3 linked regions of the Rhinolophus ferrumequinum genome follow. The protein of the gene in region 3 interacts with the protein of the main gene of each other region in a pairwise test. Links are inferred from orthologs where the notes say so. Each region holds a gene or a part of one and is shown on either strand. Other genes may lie near its edges.

Region 1 (8,207 bases), on a different chromosome or scaffold from region 3:
AACAGACAACAAATATAGCCAGTGCAAAGACCCTGAGACACAAATGAGCTTGACTTACTCAAGGAAGAAAAAGGGGGTCCGTCTGGAAGCGGGTAAGAGACAAGGCAGGAGAACAGGCCAGGGCTGTCAGGCCAGGGCTCGATTGTGTCAGGTAGTACAAGTGGTGGTAAGGACTGGGAATGTTATTCTAAGTGCAATGGGATGACACTGAAGGTCTTTAAGCAGGGAAGTGACACATGCTACGTTCTGACTATTGTGGAAGAATGGATGATGGAGGCCAGGTTTCAAGAGGTTAAATAAGCAGCTCAGGGTTTTACGGCCATTACTAGTTTGCATTTAATACCAAGGTTCATTTCCATGGTGTCCCATTTTACATACTGTAGTATCATGTTATACTGGAATATCACATCTGACAAAGTGGGGTTCCCACTATCTCCAGGACCCCAGCCCGGCTTCTTGCATTATCAGTCAAGTAAGGATAACTGCCCGTGGTTATGTGACAATTCAACAGCATATATATAGTAACTTGCTTTCTATTCATCTGGCAACATTCACCACATAGTATCTACTGTGTGCCAGACACTTGTAAAGTGTTCTACAGTGTTAGGAATATATTATTAGAGATGTTTAATAAAAAAAAAAAAATTACTTGTCTGGGAAAAATAAAGGGCCAGCCCTCATTCCTTAAGAAAGATGAGAACAGTGCGGATACTGGGTTCTCGCTAGTCTTCACTTTTCTCTGCAAACTCTCCATTAAGTCAAATTTTCTTGAGAAGCATCTTCTTTGAACAGAGAGAAGAAACAAAGAAGAAAGATAGTTAATATGCTGGGGAGGTGAGACATTATAACCAAAATAACCCAGGATTTACCCTATAAGTCCAGCTTCAAGTCACAGGTAAGCCGGAGCATTCACCCGAGTGAGTTTTCTACTTCTAACCTGTAAAACCTGGATAAACCCATTCTCCCTCAAGGTAGGCAGCCTTGTAGTGAACAATCTGGCTCTATGACATGGGTGAAGACAATTAATGGGGACCTGCTTGCCCTGTTCCTTGAGTGGCTAGAGGAGAGATTAGAACACGCTCACTTATTTATAAGAGATTGGGGATTCTCAGGGAACGGAGCTGGTTGAATTTACACTGTTCTCAGAAATCCTTCCTGCTAGAAAGGGGCAAATGAGGTCAAAGTCGTTCCTCCCACACTATGAGCAGAACTGACAACCACTGGAGCCCATGATAAACAAGGAAGCCCAATTTCCATGGCAGCCCTCACTAATTCATTTAGCCCCCACCTCCAGAAAAGGACCAGGCCTGAACTGCCTGGTCTACCATCCCACTTTACTCAAACACTAAGACCTGGATTTCTTCTCCAGATGGCCAGAATGTGCTGCACCTTGGCCATTCTGCTCCAGGGAGAAGACCCAGGGAAGCAAAGGAAAGTTACAGCCTGGACAAGCAACACAAGACAGAGATGGACTAGTAGGTACAGGAAAAAAGAGAAAAAAAAACTTAATTGTGACTGGAAGACAGCTACTTCCAAATGAGGAAAAAACTTTGTATAGCTATCGACTTTTTAAACAGAATTCCATAGATATTGGGTACAAATGCACTGGCTGTGGGACCTGTTTTTTAGCTACCCCACTAAAAAAACCTCACTCTCCCTGTACTGGGTTGAATAGCGTCCTCCCAAATTCATGTCTACCTGGAACCTAGATTGTGTCAAATGGACATATCTGGAAATCGGGTCTTTTCAGATGTACAGTAATTCGTTAAATTAAGATAAGGTCATATGAGATTAAAGTAGACCCTATTCCAATGACTGGTGTCCTTATAAGGAGAGAAAACAGACACACACACATACAGCTAGAATGCCATGTGACAACAGTCAGACATTGCAGTGAAGTCTACAAGCCAAGGAACGCTGAGGATTAGAATGGCCTGGCTGAAACCTTGTTTTCAGATTTCTGGCCTCCAGAACTGGGAGAGAACACATTTCTATTGTTTTAAGTGCCCCCATTTGTGGAACTTTCTCATGGCAGCCCTAGGGATCTAATACACTCTATTTCACACCTGTTCCCCAAACCACCCCTCCCCATCTCATCCCAGGAGCAGGAGGCAAGACACACAGGCCATGCCTCCAGCCCACCTGGCCTTTTCCACCTTCTCAATGCCCATCAGCACTTCTCTCTTTGAGGCGAAGGGAGTGCAGGGATCACATTTCAGCTGCCCCCACCTTCTGCCACCGGAGGCAAACTGGCAGGGAGTGTTTGTTTTCTCTTCACCTCCTCCTAGATTTATAGCCTCTCATTTAGATTAGTGTTTCTTACATTTTATTCAGTCCCATCCGAGAGATATTGGGAGAGCAGAACTATGTTATTATACCTTATACTGTCATTTACTTAATATTTCCTAATATTGAGTCACTACTTTTACTTTATTTTAAAAGGAACTACTACATCGTTACAATAAACGGAAAATCAGCATCACTTACCCTATGGGGAACCTGCTACATACGTTTTTAACTTGCACATTAAAGTATTTTTTAAGTCCATTCATGTACCATTTAAAATGATCTTGGGTGAAAATACTGTGGGGAATACCGCCTTCAAGAGTACAGCGGCTCTCCCGGTTTAGCTGGTCGGAAACTCTGGGTTCCTAATCAGAAAAACCAACTTAAGCTCTACAATCTCGTTTCTCACCCGGACTCTCCGGGAAGGGGCTCAGGGAGGAGGAAAGAAAGGCACCGGGAGCTCCTAGTGCGCCCGCGGGGTGACCTGAGCAAACCGAGTCGAGAGCAAAAGGGGCTTTAAATACCCAGTCGTGCGAGCGACATGGGCGGGGAGGGACTGACCTTCTCGCGCAGGGTGCAGTGGACGTCCGAAGCGACGCGCCCTTCCCACCACGGCTCATCCATCGTCGCGTATGCAGCGCCACGATCCGAGGCTACCGGGCTCTCAGGGCGCACCCTGCGTGGACACGAGCTACCTCAGCGGACGCAGGGCACCCGGGCTGTAACCTCCGGCATTCCTATTCGCCCCGGCCGGGAGCCCCCCTCCTGACCACCTCAGCAGAGCTGGGGGTCGCCGCCCATCCCGGGAAGGCTGCGCTGTCCCCTCCCCTCTGTTCGTGGGACCTGGGGCGACCTGGAGCTGTGCAATCACTTGCAGAATTGTCTTCCCTTTTGCAAAAGTTGCAGAGAAAGTTGCCGACTCCGCTAGCCCGCCCGAGGCTGGGGCTCCGGCAGCGGCCACCGGCTCGCCGTCCCCAACTCCTCCCCCGCCGCCCAGCCTTTGTCCTGCTCCCACATCCTGCCCCGGGGCCGGGGCGAAACTCACGCATCCCTCTCCGGCGTGGGGGGCTGCGGGCGCCAAGCCCCTCCCAGAGCTGAGCCGGCGGCCTCGCGCCCGGCGCTCCACGCTCTCGACGGCCGCCTCCGCAGCCCCGCTCGTCCCGGCGCCGCCGCGCCCCTGCGTGCGCTCGGGTCCCGCAGCGGCTCGCAGTCTCTGGGCCGCCGGGGGCCTCCCTCCCTCGCTAAGGGAATTGGGGGCCGGGCCTCGCGCATGCGCTGCCAGCTCCCGTACCCCGCGGGGCGGGGGGCTGGGAATTGGAGTCTTTCTTTCGCCTGCGCTGGCTCTGTTTCCTGCCCGCCCTCCTCCCCCGCCTTGGTGGAAAGCTTCCCCTCACCTTGGCAGAGACTCGGGGTGGCCTCCTGGGCACCCCACGGGCTTACGCGGGGAGCGCAGGGACCGCGGCGCCACCTGCGCGCACCACGCGTGAAACGCGCGGGCAGGATGCGCCAGAAAGTTCTGTCTCCTGCGTGCGCTGCTCTTGTCAGCGTTACGTAGGTTCCACCTGTTTTGTTTTTGTTTGGGTTTTTTTGAACCTGTTCTGCGATGGGGAGGCAGATACGGGCAATTCCCACGAAAGCTCCAGAAAAGCCACTCTTGATTGTCCAGGAATCCCTAATTCTCAAGGACGCTCAGTAAATCAAGTGGTATTTATTGTTCTCCTGCAAAGTACAGATCTATGCCGTACATTGGAGGAAAACTAATCTTTTGGGAGGGACTTGCGGGTGGAAAGCATTGTCTGTTTAATTCAGTTGATTGTTTTCGGAAAGGTTCTCCCTTGAATCAGCTCATCTGATGGCACAGCATCGGCTGATTGTTTTTTGTGATACTTTTGGAGATTCACAGACCTGTTTCAAATCCACCTACCAACTGGGTGGTATTTGCCAAGTTCCTCAGACTCTCTCAGCCTGGGAACCCTCATGTGTAAAATGGGAATAAAAATTGCACCAACCTGTTGGAGATATCTATCGCTAAATAAGATAATTCGTGTAAAGGGATAATCGCCATGCCAACTACACTCAATAAATAGCTGCTACTAAAGAGCCTTTAGTTTCTGACTGGTTTCCTGCAAGCTAATACCCACCTGGAAAAAATTTTAAAGTCAGCTTTGATAAACTTCAATTGGAGCTTAAAGAGCAGTTTTAATAATAATGACAAAATTATGAACTCTTGTAAAAGTGTACCTAGGAATAAACTTACTAAAAAGTGCTCTTAAGAAATTATAGAGGTTAAAACAAGAAAGGCTTGAAGAAATAGAAGGTGAAAATACCAACTTCACCCAAATTAACTCTTTTAATTAAAATCTAATTTTTGTAGGTAGCTGGGAGTGAGGGAGAAATGACATAACTTGTTCTAACACTCAAATGGAAGAGTAAGAAAAGCTAAGATTTTTTTTTAATGGACGGGTAGACCTATGTTACCAAATCTTAAAACATATTACAAAGCTATCATTAAAAAAGTGGTGTTGATGCACTGACTGTGCATCAGTGGAATAGTTGAAAACTTAGAAACACATACAACATACTTAAAAATTAACCATATGATACATTTATCTTTTCACTTTTGTGAGGAAAAGGATAAATTCTTCAATAAGGCTGGGGAAATTAATTTGGGGGGAAAACATAAAAACCATCTATTTAAACCATCACTAAAATAAATATAACAAGTTGTCAAATGTCAAAACTCAAACAATTTAGTAATGACGTTACTGTCCTTTATTCAAGGGAAGACAGCCCATGTATTAGGGAGAACAGTGCCTTACAAGCAGTGGAGCACTCTCCCTGAGGGATTTTGGGTAAGAGCAAGTTTTATGGAATATTAAGAGGCAACACAGAAACAGGGCATGATTGCCTACGAGATTGGGATTTCCTTATAAGGCTAGCAGGTCCTATTTTCTAGGGTAAAGAAAGCTAGCTAAAGGTGAAGTGGAGGACTGTGATTGGTGTATGTTAGGTCTCCATGACAGGTGTTTTCCGTAAGTGCAGGCTGACTTACTGTGTTTCCCCGAAAATAAGACCGGGTCTTTATATTAATGTTTGCTCCAAAAGACGCATTAGGGCTTATGTTCAGGGGATGTCATCCTGAAAAATCATGTTAGGGCTTATTTTCTGGTTAGGTCTTATTTTCGGGTAAGCACGGTAAGTTTAGATTTGTGACTGGGGTGGGGCCCCTGGAGCTGCCTCCATTTTGTGGATCCCAGTACAGTAGTTCCCCTTTATCCGCTGTTTCACTTTTCACAGTTTCAGTAACAGGCAATCTAAAACTATTAAATAAAAAATTCCAGAAATAATTCATAAGTTTTAATTGTACGCTGGTCTGAGTAATGTGATGAAATCTTACGCTGTCTCACGCCATCCTGCTCCATCCCTCCCGGGATGGGAATCATCCCTTTGTCCAGTGTAGCCATCTTGTATGTACAGTATAATAAGCTATTTTGAGAGAGATCACATTCACATAACTTATTACAATATGTTATAATTATTCTGTTTTATTGTTAGCTATTGTTGTTAATCTCTCACTGTGCCTAATTTATAAGTTAAACTTTATCACAGGTATGTATGTATAGGAGAAAACATAGTATATATAGGGTTTGCTACTATTCGTGGTGTCAGGCATCCACTGGGGGTCTTAGAACGCATCCTCGGTGGATAAGGGGGACTACTGTATATGAATTAACTTTATCAAACTCAAAGAACTAAACAAACAAAAAATTAAAAGACAGTTAAAAGAAAATATAGGTGAGGGTCGGCAGGTTGGCTCAGCGGTTGGAGCGCAGTGCTCATAACACCAAGGTCGCCAGTTCGATTCCCACACAGGCCAGTGAGCTGTGCCCTCCACAACAAGATTGAAAACAACGACTTGACCGGGAGCTGATGGGTCCTGGAAAAACACACTGTTCCCCAATAAAAGAATTTTTTTAATTAAAAAAAAAGAAAATATAAGTGAATTATTTCAAAGGAGAAGGACCAGTTATTAAGACATACAAAGAAACAAAAGGCAAAGATGAATATATATATTTGAATAAATATGCAAGACTTAGACATATCAAATATCAGCAAAAAGGCAAATGACAAATTGAAGAACATGTTTTTAACAAATGTGACAAAGATTGGTCAACTATATAGACCTCTTATAAATCAATACATAAAACACTAACAACCAAAATGCAGAAATGGATGAACAGGCACACCATGAAAGAAAAAATTCAAAGAGATAAATATTTTTAAATGTTCATATTCACTAGCAAAGACATTAATTTTTTTTAGAAAGAGTGGGGTACATATTTGTTAAGGATTTCTATAAACATCATATGCAGTGCTGACAAATATACAGTGTTGCTGGGAATATAAATAGCATCTTTCTGAAAAGCAATATGCAGAAAATTGAAAAATGTATCATTTGCTCCAACTATTCCATTTCTGAAAATTTATTCTAAAAAATTGAGCAGATGAGTACAAAGATTTATTTACAGGAGGTTTCATCATACTGCTTTTTTATTATAGTGAACTATTAGAACAGGGACTGGTTAAATAATAATTTGACTCTTAAAAAACATTTTTTGAGAGAATGAATAATGACTTGGAAAAATCTTCACAATATATTAAATGAAAAAGGAGATTAGAGTATGATTCCAATTATACTACATTCACACACACACACACACACACACACACACACACACAAAACTGAAGAATATACATAAAACTATTAACTGTGTAATCAGAATGGTAGGATTGAAGGAAATGTTATTTTACTTTATATTCTAGTATATCTGTATTTTCTAATTTTTCTGCAAGAAACATGTATTACTTTCATAATCAGAAAAAAAACAGTGAATGTTACTTTAAAATAATCACATGATATACTTAACTAGATTCCTTTGAATCACACAACTCGCAGTATTGTTGTTTTTGTTTTTTCCATTGCTATATTGTTTTTTTTCCTCAATAATCTTTCTATACAGGGTACACTAAAAGAAGAAAGGCCTTTCCTATTCATTGATTTGGAGTCCTCTTTTCCTAAACTTTAGTTCTCAGTTATCAGGAGTTCTGGTAGGTGAGAAAGGGAGGCAGAAACTTGGGGCTTTTTACTAGGGGCTATTTTCAAAGGATTCTAAACATCATTCGTCATCTGCTGTCCTTTGTGTGTCATTCTCAGGAGTCTCTCCTTTTCCCAGTATCTCTGAAGAATAAAAATACATTGTGCTGATGTTTTTGGTGGTGAGTCTCTGTCCACAGGTAGAAATGGTGTCCTTAGCAGGGCAGGTTTCGTCTGGTGGACAGCAGGGGAACGATGTGACTGGAGTTAATTCTCCCACTCCATCCCCAACCAAACCAGGAAGTATTCATTTGTTCATTTGTTCATTCATTCAGTCAAAAACTAAACCTTTATCAAGTGCTTGCTATGAGTTAATTACCACTCTTCCACCCTCAATGTCTGAAACTCACAGGATGGAAACCAAAAATTTAAAGCAAGACCATCCTACATAGGTACAATATTTTCAAGTGTAAAATGAGAGAAAAAAAATTTTCCTGACCTTTCCAATCTTCCTCAGAGGACAAATCAATCTAATATTTTCAACTGCTCACTTTAACTCTCCTTTCTCTCTTTTCTTCATATGATACAAGCGCTCACATGACAAATATATGCGGTGAAATGTACACGTTCTCACCCTCGGTCCCAGGCCTTGCTCTCCTCCCCCGGGATAACCAGCACTTGTATTTCCTTGCAGAAGTGACCTCTGCATTTACCAACACAGGCATTCGTGTCTTTTCCCCCTTTTACGTGAATGGTTGTTTCATGGCAGTGCCCAGAGAGCTGCTGTTATCCCGTAGACCCAAGTATGGATCCATCATGATGTGGG
Region 2 (8,083 bases), on a different chromosome or scaffold from region 3:
TCCTTGATGAAGCCTTCCAGGCTTACTCCAGTCCTCGAGGGCCTCGCCCTGCCACTTCTCATTACCTGTTTGGACTCAAGAGACCCTCACTCAGCTAGCTTGGTTTCCACTCTTTCCTGTGGGTCCACCGGGCCCTCCAACAGGAGGGAGCCAGGGTTAACAATAGGTCACTTTCTTCCCATCCTGCCTCCCTCTCCCCATATCCAAGACTTCTTATGGCACTAACTGGAACTATCCACCTCCTCGGGGTGGGAGGGTGAGGAAGAGGGTTCAGAAACTCGGCTGGGCACAGAGCAATTTCCTTGAGCCTGCCTCCCAGCAATGAGGGGACCCATAAATTATTCACTGCACCTTTGTGCCTAAGGGAGATCAGACAATGAGCCAGAGGGAATGAACACCAGTGCCCCCCAACCCTGGCCCTGGGGTGGGAGGTCACAATCCAGATTCTTTACCAGGGTCCCCGAGCAGATTCTAGAGGGCTATGAGACCAGGAAAGTGGCACAGGGGAGCCTGACACACAGGAGTCCCATCTGAGCAAGCCTAGGTCTGTGCGCCGGCAACAGTAGCCTGCATTCTAAGGCAAGTCTGAGAATTTTCCCATATTTTCTGGTAAAAATTTAAGTTTCTTTTCCTTATAGGGAAAGAAATAGATATTTGGCCAAGCACTGTATATTTATATCCCACTTCATCTTCACAACAACCTCATAAAGGAGGAATTCTAATGTATAGACAAGAAGCTGGGGCTCTGATGAGTGATTTGGCCAATGTCACATGGCCAGTGGGAGGCAGAGCGGATTTCTGCCCACCTGGTCTGTCTCACTACTATCTGCCCGTGCCACTTAGCCCACCCAATTAATTGTGAGCTAGTCACCACACTGCCTTCTCCATCTGGGTAACTTCCAGGGCACCTGGTATGCCGGTGGCGCTCAGTTCCTGAAGCAAACTCAAAGGCCCTGGGTAAGCGGTTTCACTTCTCTGAGCCTCAGTTTCCCACACAAGGTAGTCATGAATAACAAGCCCAGTCTTGGCAAACACAAAAACTCTTTAGCACTTGACAGTGTGCTCGATACGATGGCCCCATTATCTAAACAGATAACACACAGCCCACAGCCTGCCTTGACCCCATTTTACAGGTGAGGCTGGGAGCCATGAATGCATCTGAGAGGTCCCAAGTGGCTCCCCAATAATGTTATGCCACACTCCAGGTTCCTTCCATCACACCATGAAATGAGATCACAGGTGTGAAATTATCTCATCAAAGAAGAGCTTTGTTTAGAGGCAGGAATTATTAGGAGAATTTGAATCCCCATGGATTACATGGGGAGGGGGAATCCCAAGCCCCTCAGTCACCTTCTCTTGAGGTTCCTCGACCTCTCCACCCACAAGGACTGAGTTTCCAGCCTTCAGCTGACCTCTCCAGCGTCCTCCACCTCCCAGGTGCTTTCCAAGGTGGTTTCCCCTAGACTCCAGGAAGCTGGGCACAGCAGGGGTTAACTAGTCCCAGCCAAGGCCACAGAGCTCAGACCTGGGCCATGTCTCCTCCCCCTTCCAATCCAGAACAAGAGCCTACAGAGTCCAGGCCAAGCCCTCTTTCACAACACCCCTCTCCCTGCACTGCCCCAGGGGGGGTAGCAAAAGGAGCCCCTGCCTGGGAATCCAGACACCTGGGACTGTACACCCCCACCCCCGGCCCTGGCAGCCCCAGCATTGATACCCAAAGCAAGCCCTCCCCTCCTAGGCCAGCAGCGTCTTGCAGGTTCCTCTGCCAGGAGAGGCTAAGGTCAGACCTTTAGTCTGGGCCAAAGGCTATGGGGTTGCTGGCATGTCTTGGGCCCCAGCACCAACCACACAGACTCTCACAACAGCCTCATACGTAGTCACCCTGACCTCACATCAGGGCTGGGGAAAACCTCAGCCACCCACCCAGAAGTTGCTAACTGAAGAGGTGGAATGGATACCTTGAAGGATGTCTTTTCAAGTGTACCTGTGGCTCAACCCCTCACTCACTGCTTTAGGACCTTGGACAATTGGCACCCCGATACCCACCCCACCCTTAGTAACGTGAAAAAATGTGAGCTGGATGAGCGCTGAGGGGACTCACCTCGTCCATCTCGTCCAACTTGGGGACTTCTACAGCGAGGTTCCCCAACAGATAAACAGCGTCTTAGGACCTCCAGAGGGCCGTAGAGACCCTGGAGTATGGCAGGCAAGGGCCAGGGGCCGCTGTTCACTGGTCCTGGGCCCACAGGAGGGGAACTGTGGAAGTAGGAAGCTTCCCACCTCTGCCCTCAACTCTGGGTCACCTTTCCTGGGATGTGACATGGCCATGGAGTTGGGGGGGAGGAGACCCGGAGAAGCCACCTCCTTCCAGCCTCAGGATCAGTTCTAGGATGCCCCAGGGGCCCCATCTTTACACCTTCCCCCACCTCCTGCCTAGAGGCTATCCACTTCCTTTCTTTTACTCTTCAATTTCTGCTTCTTTCCCTCTCCACTCACACCCTCCTCACAGTCTCATCCCCAGAGTGAAAAGAGCAGGGTCACTCAACCCCGTTGAGCCTCAGTTTCCCCATCTGTAAGAGCCCATAAATATACAGGACACCTTCTATCCCACCGAGTTCTTAGTGAGCCTTAATGAAGGGACCACTCAGGCAAGGGTGGGGCGCGGACCCGCACACAATGGGCGCTCGATAAGTGCCCGTTTTCTCCCTTCCCGCCTCCCTTTCCCGCGCCCCCTCCTAGCCAGTTCCAGCCTCAGCTAGTGCCTGGCATACCCCCGCCGCCGGCCCGGGCGCTGCCCGGATGGGGTCAGAGGCCCCTCCTAGCCCCGGCATCCGGGGCTCTCTCACCTGCAGCTCTCGGCTCCCGCCGGCCGCCGGGGCAGAGGGGCCCCTGGGTCCTCTTCGGGGCAAGCGCCAAGCCCTTCGCCTAGGAAGGCAAGTGGTAGTAGCTTCGACTCTCAGCACCAGCCGGGTCCGGCTCCGTCCGACTGTCCAGCCCGCCTGGGACCCCTCACGGGGCGCTGAACCCGGGCCGGGGCTTCCCGGTAGCTCACAACGTCCCAAGTCCGAAGCAGCACCGGGTCGGAAGCAGCTAAAAGTCCTGGTCTAGGGGAGACAGAGGCTGGGGGCGTCCGGGCTCCTTTGCACTCAGTCGGGGGCTTGGGGACACCCTGCGTTAAGCCCGGGCGGAGAGCTGGGGACTCCGACACACACTATAGAAAGGCTGTGAAGAAGCCCGCAGCCATGGACCCGTAGGGTGGGCCAGGAGCGTCTCGCCCAGGTGCACTGGATCAGGGTCGGGGGCTACGGGGGGCCCGGCCACGACACGCCGGACTGCAGGGCTGAGAGCGTCCCAGCGCGGAATCCAGGGCCGGGGCAGGCGGGGTAGGTCAGGACGCCTGCGAGGAGCAGCGGCCGCCAGCGCCGGGCGGGGAAGTCTTCCCAGGTCCAGACTCGGCTCGCTCTGAAAAATCGGGGGGACCTCCGTGCGGCAGCCGACTCTGGAGCTCCGCACCGCAGCTCCACTTCCTCCTCTTCCCCCGGCTCGCACGCCGCTCGCTCAGCCTCGCGCCGCAGCTGCCGCCACCCCCGCCGCTGTCAACGCGGTCGCCCACCCCCGCAGGAGCTGCGGCCCCAGCCGAGCAGAGCTGAGGCAGCGCCGCCCAGCGCCTGAGCGCAAGCCGGCGCCGCCCCGCCCGAACTGGGCGGAGTCAGCCCGAAACCCCGCCCCTTTCCCGGACCACGAATCCTTTCCTCGGCCCAGCAGGAGCCAATGGGGGAGAGAGTGGGAAAAGAACGGAGCTCTGCGGAAAGTGGACTCTACCTCGTGAGGGCGGAGCCGATAGTGGAGAGGTGCGGCTGGAGCGGGGACCACGCAGGGGGGTGGGGGACTTTAAAGAGAGGAGCTGGAGGGAGGGTAACGTGGGGACCCGGATGGAAGGAGAGGTGAAGAGGACCGGATTGTCTGGGACCTGAGCCCGGGGACTGCCTTGTGTGGGAGAGGGGGAGTCATGGGATAGGTACTGGGGTCGGGGGAGGGAGAGAAGCTGGATAGAGGCGAGCTGGGTTATCCAGGGTAGTGGAATCAACAGGGAGAGTGGAGCCCTCGGGACACAGCTCTCACAGTAGTCGTCTACCTCCCCAACTTCTAGGGCTCAATGCGAGGAGGTGAGCTTTGCATGCTGCGAAATATTCAGATTTCAGGAAGCGGTGAAAAATTAAGTTTTTGAAAATAAAGAGCAGATCTTTCTTAAAACATTTTTCTGCGGGGAGGAGAGTCGTTATCAGTTTTAAAAATATGAAGTCAAGAGCAGAGGTGCGTGAGTGACCTTTATGCCCTCTGCTGCCCCTCCCCTCCAGCCTTAGGGCTGGAGCTGTGTCTGATTTACATCTCCCGAGGCTCCAGCACCCTGTACAGGGCGAGGCACAGAGCAGGCATGGAGGGTTTTGATGTATGAAAGAGTGAATGTTGAATGTGCTTCTGGGGCCATGTGAAAGCCACTAAATGGCCTGGGGAGCAAAGGGATGGAGGCCACCCAATACAGCTTTTCTGTAAGCCTCACACCAACCTTATGCAGTAGATACCCCCATTCAACTGCTGGGGACATCAAAGCACTTGAGAGGCAAAGCGATGTTCCTAAGACCATAAAGCTGGCACGAGAGTCTATCCGCTCATCATTACCGCATTCTGGAGCAAAGCTGTGTGGCTTTGAACAGGTTACTGGACCTCTCTGAGCCTCTGGTTCCTCATCTGTAAGGGCAATAGAAATACTGCTACTTATCAGGGGCTGGGCAGGCACCAGGCTTCAGAGAACGGAGGGAAGGCTTATTCCTGGCAGAGGAAACAGCACATGCAAAGGCATGGAATCTGAAAGAACGCCTCTGGGGACCCCTAGCCTATTTTGGGGAGATTGGAAGAGGCTTCCTTGAGGGAGTGACAGGCAGGCTCGGAAGTAGGGGTTGGCTAGGTTAGGAGAGAACCTAAGTGAATGGACAGTGGTCTGGGCAAAGGCTAGTCTGGAGAAAACCCTGGAGGTGAGGGAGAGCATTACTTCGTTGGAGAACCCAGAGGAGTTCAGGGTGGCTGGAGCTCCCAGAGAAGGAACAGCAGAACTGATGGGAAGAGAAAAGTGTGAAGAGGCAAGTGGAGGCAAACAAAAGGGAGTTCAGACTATTCTAAGGGCCAGCAACTCTGTTAGCGGCCTGCTCATGACCCTGAACCCAGCAGGGATATGGGGAGGACTCAGTCTTGAAGGCCAACTCATTGGCTGCCAGAGGGGGTGTCCTGGGAAGTTTTTAAGTCAGGTATTGCGATGGGAAAGACAGAGCTTTGTAGGGAAACCAGGTAGTGTGATAACACTTAAAGCCCGCAATAGGCAAATGGCGTGGGGCCTGCATGAGGAAGGGTTGGAATCCTCAGTGATGCCTGGACCCAGGGCTCTGTCCTATCCCCTCTTAAGAGTGCAACAGCCTTCAAGTTGGTTGGAAGAATAAGGAAGGGGCTGAGCTGGAGGCTGAAGTCCAGGCTGGAGGGGTGCCCTCTCCTAGCCAAGCCCAGGGGTGGGGGGTGGGGAGGTTGGCCCCAGGAAGCTCCCACTGGTGCCTGCGGCCTCAGGGCTGGTAGAAGGCTATTTTGCCTATAAGTTGAGCTTGGTAATGGTGCTACGAAACCTTATGATTTCTCTGTTTAGAACCTTCTGTGCCTCCCAGTTGCCAGCAGGATCAAATCCTAAGTGTCTGGCCTGGGGTTGCAGCCCCTCCATTATTGCTCTCTGCCAACCCAACGAGCTTCGTCTCCCAGTTGCTTCCCTCTCCCCTGGCACCAGACGTCTTTCTGTGCCATCCACAGGCAGGATGCAGTCTCTTCTATGTTGTTGTTCCTGCTGTTCCCTTTGTCTGAGGGACTGTGTTCCCTTTCTCTCCTGAGTCAATTCCTGGTTCGCTCTGGACTGAAGGGAAGAAACTTTGGGGCAAATGCCCATCTGTCCTCTTCACTGCTATGTCCTTGGAGCCTAATACATAGTATGTGCTCAGTAATTAATTGTTGAATGAATAGCTCCGTCTCTCAAATCAAGTGTCTCTTCCTTTGAGAAACCTTCCTGCACTTCCCCAGGAAGTCTGCCTTTGGTGTGGAATCTCTCAGCTTGAAGACTCTGTAATTACGTCTTTCATGTCTAGTTGGCCCCATGGGCAGGGAGCCCCTCCGCGTCAGTGCACCCCCACCCACTCCCCCAGCAGAGTGGCAGCAGTCCCTTGTCAGACCTCAGCACTGAGAGATGAATGAGGCTCTCAGAAAGCGGTTCTCTGCTGCCCCTGCTGCGAGAGCCTCCTGAGCAGGTCAGATGAGCAGAAGGCCAGAATGAAAAGGAGGCTTTCAGAACAGACCCTCCATGACCCCTGAGGCCCAGGGTCCCCTGGAGGTGACGGGCAAACAGTTCTCAGCCGCCCACATTTGCCCTCTGGCTACCTTCCCAGGGGGAGGAAGTCTCCTGACCTGGGAGAATCCGGCCTTTTTGCGGCTGAGAGGCCCACGAAGCAGTGTGACAGAGGCATGGTCATGGTGGCTTGTCTGGGAGGGTGACTGAGGGCTCAGAGGCGGCTCTAAAGCTGGGCCTCTGGGGCAGATAGAAAAGGCTAGCCTTGTCAGCCCGGTGCCCCCCCTGACCCCCCCCCTTATATTCTTCTGACCAGAGTGGGGATTAACTGTGAAGCGACTGCAGCTTCAGGTCTGTTGCACAGCTTGCTATGCTCATCACAACTGAACATTCGCTTTTGTGCCTACATTTATATTAGGAATTTGGTATCCTCTTCCTTAACAGAGCCACCAAATTATATAAGACCTCACACCCCGTGAGATCTACTTCCAACAAATCCTTACCATGCACCCACGATGCGGGCACTGCGCTGGGTGCTGGCAAGGATACCATGGAGCATCAAGCAGACGCGCGCCCTGCCCTCCTGCAGCTCACCGTCTGCTGGGGTCGGCAGCTCAGCTGAAATCATGGCCCTCACAGTATGGCCTGCTTTCCTACCTGTCTGCGTCTGCCAGCCTGGAATCCTTTCCCCAGCTCTCCTGCCTGCATGGGCCCCACTCGGCCACTGGACTTTTCTTCATCCTTCAAGGGCTAGTACACAAGTTGACCACGGTGGGAAGCCAGCCTGACTGCCCGGTGGGAAGCATTCTCCATCCATCGGAGCCAGTGACACTGCAGGCTCTTTGTGCTTCCCTGGGGACACTGATCCCCTTGGATCACAGGTTGCTTGTGGGTCAGTTGTCCCACCAGAATATAAGCTTGTAGAGGGCAGGGTATGGAGTCTCGTGTCTCTTTGTGCCCTCAGGTCATCCTGCATTTACCAATGATTCAATGTCCTGGACCAAACTTTGGGCATCTGGGGGTGGGACAATTAAGGAGCCCCAAGTGCCAAGGCTTTCTGCCGTGGAGTGTGCAGAGCGCCATGTGAACACAGAAGACAGCAGGGGGTGGGCAGAGCGGGGTCCAGGGTGGCTTCCCAGGGAAGGGGACACTTGACTGGCTCTCTAAGAATAAGCACAATTTGTCGGGATAAGGAGAGAACAGTCTTCTAGGCAGAGGGAACATTGAGCACAAAAGCATGAAAGTGGGAACAGGCAAGTGATAGGTGAGAAGTCGGTATGTTTGGGGGAACAGGAATGACACAGGAAGGAAGAAACTGAAGTCACACAATGGAGCAGTTAGGGCACAGACTGGACCCATATGGCTCGGGTTCACCTCCTGGCTCTGCCATTACTAACTCATTGCTCTGTGCCTCAGTCTCCTCACCTGTAAAGTTGGGACAATACTAGTACTTACTTCATAAGCTATAAGAATTAAAGGAGCGTATCTCTATGAAAGCCTACGGTAGTGTTGGTATACGGTCAGCCCCACGGTGTGTCTGATAATTAAGTTGGAGCAGGAGGGGCAGGCTGAGGCTCTGTTGGGTGGAGTTTTGAATTGGACTGTATTGGGAGGGTACCAGAGCGCTAAGAAGGGGAGTGAGGGATGAAAGGGAGGAGGAGGGGCCTTGGCTCATATCCAGCCACACTCCTCCCCTCCCTGAACACCCAG
Region 3 (6,918 bases):
CAGCAGCATAAACATGATGATGAGAGGGACTGGCATTTAGCTTCAGTGTCAGAAGTCTATAAGAAGTTTATGACTTCTGGTAAATACTGAGATAGTTCAGGTTTGTCTTGTTCACTTCTGTATCTTTTGTGCCTGGTACAGGGTGGTTTGGGACATAGTAGGTAGGTAATAACATTTTTGCTAAATAAATCAACAGTTTAGTAAATTAAGTTGGACTGTGTTTTTAAAAGTGAGTGTGATTTTTCAAAATAGATAAATCAGAAGTGCATTCCGGTCTTGATGATGACATAGGCAAAAGGTGGATGCTTATAAAAAGCAGCATGTTTGTGACCTATGTGTAAGGCAGGATTGCAAAAGCTTAGCATTTGCAATATTGAGAAAGGGATGAAGCCAGAGAGGTGGGAGGGAGAAAAACAACGAGGAAAACCAGATGTCATTGTAAGGACTTTATATTTTTATTTTCTGGAAGTAGCTCACAGGAAGCCACCAAAGGTTTAAGCAGGAGTAAAATATAGCTCCATTGACAATTAGGCCGTTTTGGTAGCTGTTCACTGGAAGAAAGATAAAGACAGCATTCCTAATCTTGCCTTTTCAAAATAACTTCAACCAAGGTCTTTTGGATCTCTCAAATACATAGGATCACAGATCTAGAAAGCAGCTTGAGGAATAAACCATCAAAGTTATTCCCCTACTGTCAGATAAGAATATGTGGTCCAGTAGCCCATGTCCTATTCACTTATCTTGCAAGCAGTTGAGGTTGGTCATTTCTGTGTTAAAATGGAATAATAAAAGACAAACTGAAGACCCAGATTTTTAATTCTGGCTTAATCTCATTTATTACAACACAAACCAAATAAATTCTTCCCACACCTGAGTGACAATGAATAGCATCGTAAACCAAATAATTTCACATCAAGGAAAAATGAAAAAAAAAGGGAGAGAAAAACGTGAAAGGGGCAGCTTGCCTTAGATCAGGCACACTGAAAAGATGAAAAGGCGGTCACTCACTACTAGGAAAGAAGCAGAAGTCCCCAAAGATTGAATTTTTGTCCTTGATCCTCAGCACGATTGCTAGCTGGAACAAGGAAGCTCCTGGCCTCCTAGTGCAAAGCAAGATGGACGACAGGGGCTGAACACATGGGTCAGAGGTTGGCATCCACTGAAGAGAGGATGCAGAGGTCTGAGGCTGCTGGACACAACACTAAGTGGCTGAGCACCACAGGGCATCCACCCCAAGGGGCGGCATCCATAAGTAAGGAGGCTCAGGGGTCCACAGCTGTTGGACATAGAGCTCAGAGGTCGACAGGATATTGGGAGGCAGGAGCTGGAGGTGAAAGAAGCAGCAGGAAGAAAACGCGTTCCTTGGCAGGGTCTGGGCCCATAGTAAGCAGTGGAAGAGCAGCAGGAAGTTTCACAGTTGCTGGGCTCACAGTTTTGTGACTGGCAGCTGGTTGGTTCACTGCAGGTCTCTTGGCAATTGTCCATGAGCCAGATACCATCTTGATACCTGCTGGGAAAGCAGAGGACATCTTCACGGCTCACATTTGTAGAGCAGAGGGCATTGGAAGAGGAGAGAGGAATATAACAGGGATTTCTGAGGGATCCCAAGTTGTAGTTTCCAGAGCAGGAGTTGGGGCAAGTCATAGTGAGGTTTTGTGGGCAGGCTGTGGTTGATTGGAAAGAAATGTGTCTCAAGTTTCTTTGTGCTCCTCATCTGACTTGATCCCTTATATATCTGCAGAAGACGGTGCTTCTGTATACAGACTCTCTTCCTCCTAGTTGCATGAGGCTGCATCAGAACTCTTCATTATGACCCGGAAGTGGATGCTCTCAACTCCTATAAAATGCGGTTACTTGCAAGGCCTTCCATTGATTAAGTAAATAACACAGTGTGACTGAATTTTAATAGGATCTCACCCTCTCAAATTATCCAACCAAATTGCCACTTTTGGAGGTCATTTACTTATTCCTGTTATAAGCCCCACTGCATAAATATTCATAGAATTATTCTCTTGGAAATGTCTTTAAAAGTTGTAGCAAACTTCTTTGAAACACTGGCAAATTATTTCTCTTTGAGAAGGAATCCTAGTAAGAAGCTTAAAAGGAAGTATGTGTAAAAGAATGTGAAAAATCCTATATCTAATGTGGGTTAGAGCAGAAAGAGTTTGAAAGTAGTATAATATGGGAAATGTCAATGTGTCCAGATGTGTTTTGTTTTATTTTAGAATTCTGATAGAAAGTGACTTCCCACCAAAATATCTTTATTTAAAAGAAGTCATGCTCCTCTTATTCGTCTCAATAAATAAATAAAGAGTCAAGCTGAAAGCTGGTTTATGTTTAAAGTTGTCATAATACGTATAGATAAACAAGCTGGGGTCAGGTAAATCTATGGATCCTATGGTAAACAAAAGCAAATCAACAGAATCCCTTAAAGACAATTGAACAAAATTACATTTTTTATACCTATTATAGGATTATGTATTCATGTTACTTGTGTCCCAACTGAAAACTAATGTTTTTCATTAAAAAAAAAAAAAAGAGAGAGAGAGACATAATGATTAAGAGACGGACTTGGATTTGGTTTTGTTTTTTACATTGGTCCTGATATCAGTTTCCAGAGAGAAGCTTCTAAACTGCTTTACATGGGTAATAACATCAGAATAAATGTAGAGTTTGTCTAAGTATGAACACTTTGACGGCTATTCGGGTATATATTTTCTGGTAAAAATTGGATTAAAAAATTCATGATTGTGTTTAGCCTCAACCATTCCATTGCCTTGTTCATATACCAACATATGTAGCAGCTCCAGTGACTATATTAATGGGAATTTTCATTATCTGTTTATCTAATTTCTAATTTTATTATCTAATTTCCAATTTCCTTTAAAATCCAATGTAAGTCACAACACTTTGTTATATTTTGATGTTTAGTGGATACACCCACACCTATTGGGTCTCCCTCTGTACAGGAGGAGTAGAATCTCTGAAATGCAAGGTTGGTTTCTCTATGAGCCAATATAGGACTATTTTCCTACCAGAAATAGGAAAATGAAAATTATATAGGTCCTGTACTAACACATTGAGATTATCTCAGTATTTTAAGTCAGAGAACACTACCCTGTGATGATTTGTACCTCAAGCACTTGAAGAATCCCCTCAATCCCTCCAGTTTTCATCACTTGGTACCTTTGTACACATTGCTAGCATCTTGTGAAATCCTGGATGCAGCCGCTGAATGGTGTCAGTAATAGGTGCAGCCATATTTAACCGAATGCTTACCAAATTTATGTGTTGATGCTCTTTATGCCCGTTCTTCTCTAATATAATCAAGAGCCCAACACCTGCATCTTTAGTACATCAATATATTTGTGTGTATGTAGTGTTTATGTTGTATGCATAAACAAATGGGTTTTTCTGCATGAAGAGAATGGGTGTGGAATAAAACTAGCATTCATTTATTGTCTACTCTGGGCAACACCTTGCAGTGTAGGTACCCACATCTGTAATATCACTTTATTCGCACCATTCTTTATAGTAAATTTTACTATTTCAAGTATTTGTATGAGAAAACTTGAGATGTAGAAAGTTACGATAATTGATATGAATAAAAACCATTTAAACAAAGGGGGTTTTGTTTGGTGGTCCTTCACCCTCTAAAGGTTGTTTTTCTCCCATTATCCAGTATGACATCATATGGACATACAGTGATACCATCATCTAGTAGAGCAATTTGCACAATCGCTCTGATTCCCCAGTCACTATCAGTATCATTTTATGGAACCATGGGAGTATTAATAACTACTTTGTGGTGTCATTTAAAAAATAAATCTAGATGGAAGGAAAACTTAAATGTAAACTGTGAGATACTGTACCTACATAATTTATTTTCTCGCTTTGGCATCCTTCACCCATTCCAAGGAGTACCACCTCAGTTTAATTCCTTTACAGCACCACCATGAGAGTTATTTTTTCCTACTGTGGGTAGATAACACTGCAAAAATATCCACAGAATTTTAGAAAATGCAGTGCCCTTAATATAACAAATGTTGAACTGATGCTTTCGATAGTGACTGTATCACTAAAGGGGAAGAAGAGCTCACGTGGGCAGCACAGCAGGTACCTCATTACCAGTCTCCTATAAACTACAGGTCCCAGGCTCTGCTTCTGATGTAAGAGCCTAAAGATAGACTGAGGACCTGGGCATCCTGTGGGCTCTTCCAGATTTATCCACTTTGTTGCTTTTACTTCAGTTAACTAGGGATCCTTACCTCTCCTAATCTAGAGGAAAAATCCTGAATTTCTTCCTCTCTTGGACACAAGGAATCCTCAGAGCATTGCAACAATAAAAGTTTGCCAATAAATGACATACCTTGCATTCATTCAGTCAACAAATATTTATTGAGAACCTTATTTATGCAAAACATTATGATAGATTCTGACAATGATACCAAGACACTATCAATGTGTTTTTCCAGATGCATCCAATTCTGTAGATGTGCTAAAACAGATACACCATCCATGTCAGTGTTCACTAAATTCTATAAATGGTGTACAGAGAATGGCAAACATTGCTTATTGGTTTGCCTAAACATTGGTATTTGGTATTAATTTTGAAGGCTAGTAGGAAACAGCAGGGGGTTGGGGAAAGGAAAGACACTTCAGACTATGGTAGAACGTGTAAAGGCAGGAAAAATGACTACACGGTGCTTTTAGTGAAATGTTCTTAGAGGTAAGTTGTAATAATGAAACTTAGGTTTACCTGGTGAATCTAATTCAATCATCAAGGCAGTAGTTAAGATTTTGTTCTCTAAGCATGGTGATCCAGTAACTGATTTCAAGAAGAGAGTGCTGTGATTAACTTGCAACAGATGGGAAGGAGTGAAAATCTATTTGTAATGCTTTTCTTACTTGATCCACTAATATGTCTTGTCATCCATTTTTCCCCGCTCTGTTCTCACCGCCATCACTCAGGTAGGGTTCTGTTCCCCTTTGGTAAACACGTGCCTTTCTCACTGCCATCTTGACACCTATTGCTATTGTCATCTCTGTGGGCTAAACACCGTATGTAGGTTAATGCTCCTAAAATTCATTTCATCAGATGGCTCTCTTACTCAAAAATGCTGATGACTCTCCTTTGTCCACAGAAAGTTGTCCAAACACTTGATTCATCCTCCTCTGCTTCCCAATAGAAATTATCTTCAGTCTTGCTGGGTTCTCTGTTCATGTCTCCAATTAGCTCATTTCACATCTCTTCATTCATCTTACCCTTGTCTCCTTTGGAATAATTCTTTTTTTTTTTTTTAAATTAAAGTTTATTGGAGTGACAATGGTTAGTAAAGTTACACAGGTTTCAAGTGTACAATTCTGTAATACATCATCTATATATCACATTGTGTGTCCATCACCCAGAGTCAGTGCTCCTTCCATCACCATATATTTGACCCCCTTTACCCTCATCTGCCACCCCTCTTCCACCTTACCCTCTGGTAACCACTAAACTATTGTCTTTGTCTATGAGTTTTTGTTTCTTTGATTGTCTTGTTCATGAAATAGTGCAATTTGGGACAATGTAGATGGATCTTGAGATTGTTATGCTAAGTAAAATAAGTTAGACAGAAAAAGTTGAGAACCATATGATCTGACTGATATGTGGGATATAAAACTGGAACAATTCTTTAATTTTTCCATCTTGTAGGCTTTAGCTTAATTAGCCCTTTCTTTATAAATACCCTCTACCAACGTAGATATTTCCAGACTTAAATCTGTATAATTACTATTAATTCACACACACACACAAACACACACAAACACACACACACACACACCTTTGCATTACAAACAAAACATTCTTTCTGTATGTGTCTTATTTCCTGACTATATTATAAAACCTTTATTACCAACTATTTACTGAGTCCTTATTATATACCAAACATAGTACTACATGTTTTATACGTATTAACTGATTTAATCTTCATAACATCCCTATTCCGATAGGTCTGATCATTATTCTCAATACATGTGAGGTAACCTCGTTGATTCTTAATAAATATTTGCTGACTAACATCATAGCTTTCACAAAATATAACAGGTTTTCTTTATCAAACAAAAACTGACCTTTACTTAGCCAAGTCAGTAATCTCTTTTATATACTTTTTCCACCATCTATCCATTTTGACCAGGTAAAGTCAACTTTCATGAAATATAAAAGAACACAAAGATAGAAAGAGGTTCAGAGGGACTGAAAACCCCTTGTCAAATTTTTCTCCTGCCCATTCTAATATCCTTTATTAATATTTATCTTAGCTCGTCTTAAAGAAGACAGCCAATTATCTGGAGTCAGTCCATTGCAATCTTCAACATAGTGACGCATCCTAAATTTAGCACACCCTGTTGGATGTTATGAGTAAAATCATTATAATTCATTGGAAGAATTAAATAATTCCCTGACCTGATCAGCAATGTAGAGCTTGAAGTAACTGGTAAGGCCGCCAGGCTGTAATATACTTTCAACTAAAATTTTACTCTATTATAACATTTTTATACATGTTTCTACATATGGTTTGTGCAAGATTTGAATAAACTTTGCTCCCCTCATTCCCATTTCATTTATACACAAGAACTTTCTATGGATGATGTGAGGAAACTGTTTTGTATTAATTAACATATCCTTTCTTGCCTATATAATAGACAGTGGAGGTGGCGGTATCTCGTCTATTATTTATAGTTAAGCCCTCAAATTGTGTCTGTTTCACCTTTACAAGGTCTTTTTCAATTTCCTCTCTTTGCCTATATATTTTATCAGTTTTATTGAGGTCTAATTGACAAACAATAAACTCAACTGAACGTATTTAAAGAGTAAAATCTGATGAGTTTTGACATTTGTATATACCAAAAATTAAGATGACAATTACATTCATT

Evidence for each region.
Region 1: the proteins of keratin-associated protein 26-1 (region 3) and CCNJL interact in binary tests that used the Homo sapiens proteins (3 or more experiments, as listed by UniProt). The two-hybrid records come from large-scale screens. The link is inferred for Rhinolophus ferrumequinum from reciprocal best matches to the Homo sapiens genes KRTAP26-1 and CCNJL.
Region 2: the proteins of keratin-associated protein 26-1 (region 3) and GDPD5 interact in a two-hybrid assay, tested with the Homo sapiens proteins (2 studies listed by BioGRID and IntAct). The two-hybrid records come from large-scale screens. The link is inferred for Rhinolophus ferrumequinum from reciprocal best matches to the Homo sapiens genes KRTAP26-1 and GDPD5.

Annotation. Positions count from the first base shown.
Region 1 is NC_046307.1:29,650,865-29,659,071, forward strand, and holds the start of CCNJL (cyclin-J-like protein), read right to left. Parts: upstream 3,653-8,207; 5' UTR 3,559-3,652; coding exon 3,332-3,558; intron 2,963-3,331; coding exon 2,848-2,962; intron 1-2,847.
Region 2 is NC_046294.1:50,205,799-50,213,881, forward strand, and holds the start of GDPD5 (glycerophosphodiester phosphodiesterase domain-containing protein 5), read right to left. Parts: upstream 3,653-8,083; 5' UTR 2,847-3,652; intron 2,277-2,846; exon of another isoform or gene 2,102-2,276; intron 1-2,101. UniProt on the Homo sapiens protein: Glycerophosphodiester phosphodiesterase that promotes neurite formation and drives spinal motor neuron differentiation.
Region 3 is NC_046285.1:96,857,899-96,864,816, forward strand, and holds keratin-associated protein 26-1, read right to left. Parts: upstream 1,645-6,918; coding exon 1,072-1,644; downstream 1-1,071. UniProt on the Homo sapiens protein: In the hair cortex, hair keratin intermediate filaments are embedded in an interfilamentous matrix, consisting of hair keratin-associated proteins (KRTAP), which are essential for the formation of a rigid and resistant hair shaft through their extensive disulfide bond cross-linking with abundant cysteine residues of hair keratins.